Linked DNA regions of Rattus norvegicus. The protein of the gene in region 2 purifies or fractionates together with the protein of the main gene of each other region. This does not show direct contact. Links are inferred from orthologs where the notes say so. Each region holds a gene or a part of one and is shown on either strand. Other genes may lie near its edges.

Region 1 (4,937 bases), about 17 Mb from region 2:
CTGCTTATACCCACCCACAGTGGAGCAGGAAAGAGCTGGGCTCTGGAGTTCAAACACAGGCTCTAAGGCTTATCATGCGACCTTGGACAATGCATGCCACCTCTCTTCCTCAGTTCCTCTAGCATAGAAACTTAAAATACTTCTCTTCACGAAATAATGACTAAGCAAGATCTGGTGCACACAAAGAGCTCTGTTCTCGTGAGACACGACAGTGAGCATAAGCAAGGCACAGCTCTTTAAAGACATTTCAGGGTTCTCCGTAAGCAAGCTCAGAAAAGGAAGCTTATGTGTGGGGTAGTCTTTCCAAGACTAAGCTAGCAGGACCACAGGAGACATCTAGGGCTCAGTGGCAAAGCTGATGACATTTGAAATAGCAAATAAAATAGTTCAACCTCCTTGGTTAATATGAATTCAGTCAACACAATAATGCAATGGCTGAATTCTTTCTCCTACTGTTAGGGAACTGTAAGCAAAATCAGTGATAATACATGAAAAGCAAGGTTCTGGTTGATTTACTATCTGACCTCACCAAAAATAACATTTTCAACAGGAACACTCAATCTTCTGATCTTACTGTACTGGCATATTTGTAGCCCCTTACACCAAAGGACTTTTTTTTTCTTCCCCAAAGAGAACCAACAATCATACTACCCATGACATCTATACAACATAAAAGGTTAAACTGACAGTGGCTAAAGTAACCAAGTCACTCTCTGGCCTTACTCCAGATATGGCTTAAATAAAGGCAACAGCATGGACCTCGTCGCTGTTTTCAACAAGTGTATTTTGGAGACTGTAAAATAGCTAATCATTCCAAGACTATATTAAGAATTTTGACTAGCCTACAACATGGCAGGGGGAGAGGCATGCTAGCACTGTCTAAACTGGAACATGTTTGATCATATGAAAGGAGCTCTAGTACTAAAGTAGGCTAGAGCATGACCATCCCAGAAAAATTAAGATAGCCAGTCTACTTAAGACTAGCTCAGTGTGATCTGCATGCCATGAACTATTCTCTGTATATGACGTAACTCATAAGCTTCAAGCTGCCATTCCAGAACCAACGATTATCTTCAGCCTTGAGGACAAGGCCAATATTTTACAAATATCAGGCAGAAGTTCTGGGTACAATCTACCATGAGAGTTTTGTTTTGGGTTTCTTTTCCCCGCCTTATGGCTTATTTTCAAGGCCTGAGCGCATAGCTTAGTAAGCATCCACTTAGGATGTGGGAGGGCCTGGGTTCAACCTCCAGCACAGAAAGGGAAGAAGGAGGGAAGAGGGCAAGAGAAAGGCAAGGAGGGGGAAAGTTTTATTTTCAAGATTTACAAAAACTCAGATGAAAACAGTTGGGCATATGTCAAAGAAAGTGGCCTCATGACACATTGATCTCCAAATTTCACTTTTCTCTTTGGAAGTTTAAATATGGATACTAAGGTGATTTCAAAAAGTGCTCAAAGGCTACTATTATAATTTATTAAACTGCTTTATAATACAAAAAGTTAAGGTGGAATCTCCAGTTTTTAAGTGGGGGGAAACTACAACAATAAAAAAAGAGTTCAGTTTTTTTTCTAAGAACTAACCAAATGGTCACCACAGATAATTAAAGAAAAGTCTAGTTAGCACTGCTGTCTTTCCAACCAAATCTGGCATTAGCTTTAGAACCAGAGAGTCAGAGTATTTTTCTTTGATTTGCCAAGCTGTAAATAAATACTAGCAGATCTATGCTTTGAACGAAAGGCATTATTGGAATATAATTATGATTCCTTAAACCGTAAATATCCCAAAAGCAGGCCTCTTTGGCTTAAAACTCAACTAAATAAAAACTGTAACCAGCTCTCCATTTTTTTTCAAACATGTGGAGTCTCATATAATAACCACCATGCATGTGTCTACTTACATGGTAATTAATTTGCTAACCAATTAAAAATCAAGCTCATCAGTGACAACAGTCACATTTCAAGTGCTCAAGAGTCACCTGCACCTGGTGGGTACCATATTGGTAGCCCACAGTGTATAGCATTTCCAGCTTGGCAAAAAGTTCCCTAGGGCAGTGCAAGGGGAGAAGGATGGGAAACTTGGAATAGCATGGTTAAGTGTGGTCTAGTTGTACAAAGCATTATCTAGAAACTGTCCCTTAGTAATCAAATCCCGCCTCTGTGGAACACACAGAAATTCTACCAGTTGTTTCTTTCTTTAAGTAAATCTTTTAACAGTGAACTGCTCCTCACAAATACTGAAAACCCAGGTCTTATTCCAGATAAATATGTACCCGTTTCTTCCTGAGTTTCTACTAACTCCAGGGAAGCTAATTTTAATCGGGGTGTACATTAACAACACTGTTACCGGAATCATTATGTCTGAATATCAAATATATTCCACTATCCCTATAACTCTTACCACTTGTCACATCAACTGTCCTGACTTTCTATAGAGAAGGCAAGATGACAATTCCCTTAACTTGGAGCTCATCACAGCTGAGCTTTTAGCACACAGATCTTCTCCCATAAACCTGAGTTTAGAACTAGGCTGTGATGATGATCCCCATGTGCACACCACAACACCAACTAAATAATTTATTTCCCCAGGGGTCCCAGAGGCGAGCTCTGACAGCAGCGTCTCTGCGTCCCCCGTCCCTCAGCCGGCACACTACATTTCCTTCCATTAACACTACCTAGCTTCCAAGAAGTAGAGCTGCCTTCTTGAGGGACTCCCCACCCATCTGGGTGACACGCGAAACAGTGCCTCTCCGCCTGGCCCCGAGGCTCCCCTCACCTCACGCCCACGGACGACGGGGAGGAGCCAGGGTGCACCCAACGCTCGGCGGCCTGCAACCGGCTGGGCCCGCACCCCGGGGCCAGATCTTTGGCTGCCACGTCCCTGACGTCCCCATGACCTCGCCCCACTCCCCTCCGCCCCCACGCGCCCCACAACCTCTGCTTAAGACACGTGGAGGCACGGCTGCGCGTCCCGCGTGGAGAATGAGAGGGGACAGAGATGGCGCGGTGTCTGCGGCGGCGGCCCCGGGACACGACGGGCAGGGGGGCAGGGAGTGGGGGCAAAGATTGTAGAAAGGGAAAAGGTGACTGAGCTAGGCTAGAAGGGGGGGTAAGATGGCGAGAGTGCCACTATGAGGGGCGGGGCAGGGGTAGTGAAGCCTGAGGTGACTAGAGGGAAGGACCAACCTGTGCGGCGAGAGCGCATGCGCACCGGGCTAGACAGCGCGCGCGGTCGCGGGACTGCGCCTTCCACTTCCGCCACACTCCGGGGGCGGGACTTCGCCCTCCCGCCATGGCGGACCGAGCGGCGCGTATCCATGCGGCGGAGCCTAGAGCGGTAGTTGCGATGGGTAGAGTAAGGGATTGGGCTGAGGAACCCGGTTTACCCTGTGCAGACTCTGCAGCCTGTAGGAGTGAGCCCGAGGGGCTAGGAATTCTTCAGAGTCGGTGACCTGCACTGGGAGATTATCCATGCAAGCGTCTCTTTAGGGGTCGGTCGGTCGGGTTATCAGAATTGCTTCGAATGACAAAGGGACGCAGAGTTCCGAAAGACCTGAACCTCAGAGAAGCACTGTGTGGGGACTCAGCCCGTTTGGGGACTTGGAAACACCAGCTTCCTTCCACCCCACCTACCCCTACCCGCCCTTGCGCAAAATCAAAAGCCTGTGACAACTGATCCGCAAAGTTTTCCCCAGTTCGTTTCTACTAATTAGAATTACTTTAAAAAGCATGCTTTGGTTGATAACTTTCACTATTGAGGAGGCTTTAAAAATAAGCAGTGGTGCTTTTTCCTAAGGATTTTGGCCTGCTCCTCATTTTGAAATCTTGTACCACCAGTATTGTATGTATGACCTGGCTTCCCGTGTTTGATGGTTGCAGGTGTAGTTCTTTAAAGCACTCAAGACAATGGTGTGCGATGCTTTCACTCTTCAGCTGTTTAGGAAAGAAAACATCCATTATCCTGCCACCTCAAATATTTATATTATATTATTACTATATTATTTATATTATTCACTGTCTTAGTAAAGATTTTACCGCTGTGAATAGACACCATGACCAAGGCAACTCTTATAAAGACAACATTTAATTGGGTCTGCCTTACAGGTTCAGAAGTTCAGTCCATTATCATCAAGGCAGGAACATGGCAGCATCCAGGCAGGCATGGTGCTGGAGGAGCTGAGAGTTCTACAACTTCATCTGAAGGCTGCTAGCAGAATACTAGCTTCCAGGCAGCTAGGTAGAGGGTCTTAAAGCCCACTCCCTACTCCAACAAGGCCATACTTACTCCAACAGGGCCACACCTTCTAATAATGCCACTTGCGCTGAGACAAGCATATACAAACCATCACATTCACCTTTCCCGGGTCTTTTCAAGCACTCTGTCTCCATTAATGCCTTGCCTATGAATGTATTATGACTTCTGAAATAATCCTAGCGTCTTGTTTAGTGTCTTTAAAACAGCCATTCATCTGATTATCTCCTCTTTGGATTGCAGTTGTCTTGTGCTTAGTTCTCTCTAACTACCAGACACTTCGATATTTGCCAAATCCACTTCCAAGAGTGTATTTAGGATGTGGAGGTTCAACATGAAGTGTAAGAAGATCCAGGCTTACTCTGTCCTAGGCAGAAAGTAGCTAAGAACTGCCATTCCCTCCTTAAAAAGTAAACTTAGATTATATATACAATAGGTGAAAAGACTTTTTTTAGTATATTGCAAAATAAGAGATTAGGCTGAGTATGTAATCTCAGCATTGGAGAAGTCAAGGTCAGCCTTGATGACACAGTGATTTTAAGACCAGCCTGAGCTGTCTTAAAATAAGAAAGAAAAATAAGTAAACTGCTGTGGAAACAGGAGACAGACTATCCAAAGAAATAAAATCCCATGCGGATCATTTTTATTAAAATCATTAAATCGCACAGGCATTTCATCTCCAGAGAGA
Region 2 (4,999 bases):
AGACCTGACTTTTTCCATCCCACTGGCCCAAGAGTCACTGGCAAGAGACATTGGCAAGGGTAGTGTCATCTGTCTTTTGTCTTTTGTGACTTGCTTAATCTAGAGTACAAAGCAAAGACAAGCTGAGAAGAAAAAAAAAAAAAAAAAGCCACAGATTATGTGAAAAACTTCATCAGGCCCAATCAGCCCAGCTTAAAATAATCTGAACACTAGTGTGCACCCAAACACACGTGCACATAATAAAATAAACATTGAGTTGGTTTTAAATCTAAGATAACATCCCTCCCAGGTTTAGAGTCCGGAATTCCCAAGTACCCACTAGGCTACACTCACTCCTCCCCCAATCCAGCAGGCCCCAAGCAAAGGAGGGCAGGCTCGGGTTGGCCCAGCTCCAAGTTTTCAAAAATGCTTTCAGTTTCTCTTTACAGCAAGAAAGCCTACCCCACCCAACCCTGACAGGCCAGAAGTTCTAAATCAGGATTACACCTCCTCCACCTCCTGGATCTGCAGTTCCCGGGTTCTCCAACTCTGAGCCCTACACCCCAAGAAGGCTTCACTGGGGTCCACTGCAGCTGGGTTACTGCCTTTACCCTGGAATCTGAATACACACTCCAACAACTCAAGACAGATCCTGGTGCCATAAACCCAGCACCTGGCTCAAAACGCGGCCCCAGTTAGAATTTCTCATAACATTAGCTGAATAAATCACCAAATAAGACCACAGGGCTTCAGGCTGGTGAGATGGCTCCCGGAGTACTTGGAAGAGTTGAACACATTCTAACACTCACACATGCAGACAAACACCACACATACTAAACTCTATTACTTTCAAAGTTTCTCAAAAGCAGGAAGAAAGAGCTTGAATAACAGGTTTATCTTTCCTCTGAGTTTGTCAGAAAATATGACCAAGAAATACTCAAGTTATACACTTGAAGTTTCACTAATGAATGATACAAAGTATTGGGGTGGGTCAGGGGAGGAGCATGGTGGTAGAGCTGTAATCGCAGGCAGACAGGAGTTCAAGGCCATCCTGGACTTCATAGGAAGACCTGGGGGAATTTAGAAAGAATGCATGTGTACAACTACAGGAATGTTTTCTGGTACTACAGGATGGCAGGCAGCATGGAGGGGGGGATACTGGTGATGGAACTCAGGCTAATACTTTTCAGTAAAAGCAGGACTACATAGCTGACTGAGTTTACCAATGAGTCTAAAGCAGCTGCAAAAGCCAAGCCTATTTATTAAGTCCCTGAACTTGCTCTGAGTTCTGTCAGCCACTCTCTTCCCTGCATGCAACACCAGAGGTCCTGTCTAAGGAAGGTTTTAGGATGGACAGATTGTTGGACTGTAAGACTTAGGAAGTCTTTAGCTGGGGTTGGGGATTTAGCTCAGTGGTAGAGCACTTGCCTAGCAACCGCAAGGCCCTGGGTTCGGTCCCCAGCTCCGAAAAAAAGAAAAAAAAAAAAAAAAAAAAAAAGGAAGTCTTTAGCTATTGGAGTAGAACCCCTTGCTTTTCCCATTTCTTCGACACGTACTTCAATTTTATTTTTGCAAACCTTAGGATACACCACGTGGCGTTAGTATTTCTCGGCTCCTTTGAAGAATTCAAAAGTAGTAATATACTTGCTTCTCGAAGAAAGTATTCTCAATTGCCACTCCGCAACTCCTGGGGCTTTATTAGAAATGTAAATCCTCAGACCCCACCCCAACCTCCTAATTTAGCAACAGCAGTTCCAAGAGAGCGATCACAAAGCTTATCAATGTGTATAAAGCACTGCACTGGTGCCCTCTCAGGAAGGCACAGCGGGTGCACGACCTAAATAGAGGGTGACAGCATGGATAAACAGGAGTTGGTCACAATGGAAGGCCATGCTTGAGACCATCCAAGGTCCTTGAAGCTCCAGTAAACATTACAACAAGAATCCCCCGGGAGGAATGTCATCTACCAGGTTTATTCATCCTCGCTGTACAGTCGGAAGTGGGGATGAGAATCTGAATGCTGGGGACGTGACTCCTTTGACAGCAAGCAACTCTGAAGGGAGGTGTGAGTGCGCCTCTCCCCGGTCCCAACCACAGGCCGCGCGAGCTAACAAGGCCAAGTCCCCGCCCCACTTCTGCTGTCACCCTGTCAAAACAAAGCCGCGGTCTACAGCGCGGAGTAGCTCTCCAATGCGGCCTGGGGAGCAGAGCCCCCCTACACGTGCTCTATAGCTGGATGCCCCGAGGTGCCTAAAACCCTCTGGGAGGGAAAATGACAAGAAAGCTGTGCTCAAACTGAGCAGACCCGCTCGCCGCCCGGGCTGTCACCTTGCCAGACCCTGTTTACACTCTAAGCCGCCAGGATCGCGCTTTCGCTTAAATAAGTAATAACAATAATGACAGGGCCGTCGCCGCACGGCCGAGGCCGCCAGGCGCCAAAGGACCCGGGCTTGGGGCAGTGCCCACCTCCCACCCCGTGCTCCGCCCCTTCACTCCCGCGGAGCGCCAGGATTCCAGGACACTTCTGGACGCTCACTCCACAGCCCAGCTCCTCCTAGCGGGGCTCAATGGGGAGAGAGAACGCAGGGAGACACATTAAGATGCCCCCAACCCCAAAATGCTGCTTCCCAGCCCCGACTGATCCGCCACACCAAGCACAGTTACGCTCCCTGTGAAAGGGCTCCGGCGAGTTCCTACAGAGAGGAAAAGCCCCAGAGTACCCCGAGCGCTCGAAAGCCAAGACTCATCCTTCCCAGAAGAAGAACACAGCCAGATCTAGATGACCCCCTACCCCTGCCCCAGTGAGACGCTGTGCGAGCCGCAGCGGCAGAGCGCGCGTAGAGAATGTAGCACTTCCGCGGTGCCGGCGGGAAGCTGGGAGTACGGTGGGGGAGGGGTGGGGGTCCCGGCCCGCCCGTGACCCCGCGATTGTGTTCTTCCCAGCGGGTACCTTGCAGGCGGAGTACACGCCGAGTTTCTCCAGTTTCTTCGCCCGCGGAGCAGAGCGCAGCTGCGCCTTCTTCACGGCGATCCGGGCCGAGCCGCCTCCTCCCGGTCCTTCTGCCGTGCCCGCCGCGGCCACGGCGGTCGCTGGCCCGCAGGAAGCAGAGCTCCCGGCGGCGGTGGCCAGGGTCCGGGGAGAACCGTGCGGGGGCGCGGGCGGCAGTGCTGGGGGCCCGACCCCACCAGCCTCAGCCATGCCGCCCCGACTGTCACCCGCAGCCGCCAGGGTCCCCGCGGGCGCCGGTGGCGGAGCCGAGACCCTCCCCCCTCGGCCGCCGCCCTGCGCCCTCCCCGCCCCCGCCGCGCTCGGCCGCCAGCGATCGCAGGCCCCCGCGCCTCCCCGGGAGGCTAGGACGCTAGCGGGCCCGAGCGCCCTGACCGCGCTCTGCTCCCCTGGGCCTCCGGCATGCTGCTGCAAGCGTAGCCGCCCGCCCGGAGCGCCAGGGCCCGTAGGTGACCGGCGACCCGCGAGGCCGGGCCGCTGCAGCCCAGGCACCTGCCGCCCTGCGCTGCTGGCGTCCCTGGGCCTGACACCCTCCCGCGCCGAGACCCAACTTCCTCCACCCTAGCGGGAGCCGGAGGAAAAAATGTTTTCCAGAAGTACCCGTCAGCGGCCAATCCTCCTCTTTGTTGCTAATTCACCAAAATCATGGCGTGAAGGGGTGTTTTGTTTTTTTGTGTTTTTTTTTTTTTTTTACTTTGGGCTAAACTTTTTCTTTTAAGGATTCTTCCCCATCCTCTTTCCCTGGTAGTTTCTGAACCGAATATGACCAAAGAGAGAAGACTCAATTCTCTCTCTCTCTCTCTCTCTCTCTCTCTCTCTCTCTCTCTCTCTCTGTGTGTGTGTGTGTGTGTGTGTGTATTCACACGTATATAATACTTGTTGGTTAGAGTACATTACATGTCGGCAAAATGAAAACTAAACGCGTGGAAAAAGTTTGAAATGAGTCTGCCTGCAGGGTTCACTCCGGGCTGGCTAAAGTCTGCTGCTAGTTTATTGTCTATTATATTTTCAAAGACGAAATCCGGGCATGCAAGTTAACCAGAAAGACAGCGTCCAGGAAAGTGATACCAATTTTGACTTAAACTTCAAAAGCAAAATTATTGTCCCTGTCTCTGATGGCAGAAAGAGGTTGTTTCGGTTGTTCACCATGGGTCAACCTTTCTAAAGCGACTTGAAAAGCCCTGCATTGCCTGTCAGCACCGTTTCAAGTGCCCTAATTCTGCGGAGCAAGCATAGTCATGATGTGGGACAATGATCGTAATGAGTTTGTGATTGGTTTGTCTCACAAGCTTGGCAGCTCCTGCTGAACTCCAGCCATATGGGATGTGCTTTCCCTTGCAAATACTCGTTTACCAGTCGGTCCTGCTAAAAATTACACTTTATGTTTCAAGATGCGTTTTTCCAGATTCTGTGTCCTTTTAACGCAGAGCAATGCTATGCGGGGGGGGGGGGGGGGGGGGGAGTTTCTTCTCAAAGGAATGAAGCCTACGGCTGGGAAATTGCAGTCTTCCTGGCCTATATTTGACCAACGCCCCCTACCTAGGCTTGACCTTAGCCCACTGTGGAAGCTCAATAGAGTGAGACTCTTTCCTCAACAATTAATTAATTAATTAATTAATAAACCGATAAGGCCAGGTGTGTTGGTCCTCACCTTTGACCTCAGAATTACAGAATCAGAGACAGGCCAGTCTCTGAGTTTTAGGCATTCTAGTCTAAGTTAAGAGTTCCAGGTCAGCCAGGACTACGCAGTGAAATCTTGTATATAAACAAACAAGCAAGAAAAAGAAAACAAACAGAAAAACTCATCAGGTTTTACATCGCTGTCCTGTCCTTTCTACAGCTGCTCCTACAATAATGTCTGTCATTAAACCATTATTGGGGGATGTAGGTTCTCTTGTCTGTTCCTAGTGTCCTTCTTCTAACACTTTTTAAATGGATTCTGAAGGAAGCTTGAGGCCCATTGTATTGCAGTGAGCTATAAATCCTGGCGGCTGCCCAGAAGAAAACAGAGAA

What was found. Proteins that work in one complex are often made in the same cells at the same time.
Region 1: the proteins of Kat2b (region 2) and Supt3h purify together in Homo sapiens (affinity purification with mass spectrometry; 7 studies listed by BioGRID and IntAct, with this or other methods). This does not show direct contact. The link is inferred for Rattus norvegicus from reciprocal best matches to the Homo sapiens genes KAT2B and SUPT3H.

What each region holds. Positions count from the first base shown.
Region 1 is NC_086027.1:23,700,977-23,705,913, forward strand, and holds the start of Supt3h (transcription initiation protein SPT3 homolog), read right to left. Parts: upstream 3,188-4,937; 5' UTR 2,933-3,187; intron 2,922-2,932; exon of another isoform or gene 2,774-2,921; intron 2,692-2,773; exon of another isoform or gene 2,673-2,691; intron 1-2,672.
Region 2 is NC_086027.1:6,797,660-6,802,658, reverse strand, and holds the start of Kat2b (histone acetyltransferase KAT2B), read right to left. Parts: upstream 3,515-4,999; 5' UTR 3,179-3,514; coding exon 2,930-3,178; intron 1-2,929. UniProt on the Homo sapiens protein: Functions as a histone acetyltransferase (HAT) to promote transcriptional activation. Has significant histone acetyltransferase activity with core histones (H3 and H4), and also with nucleosome core particles.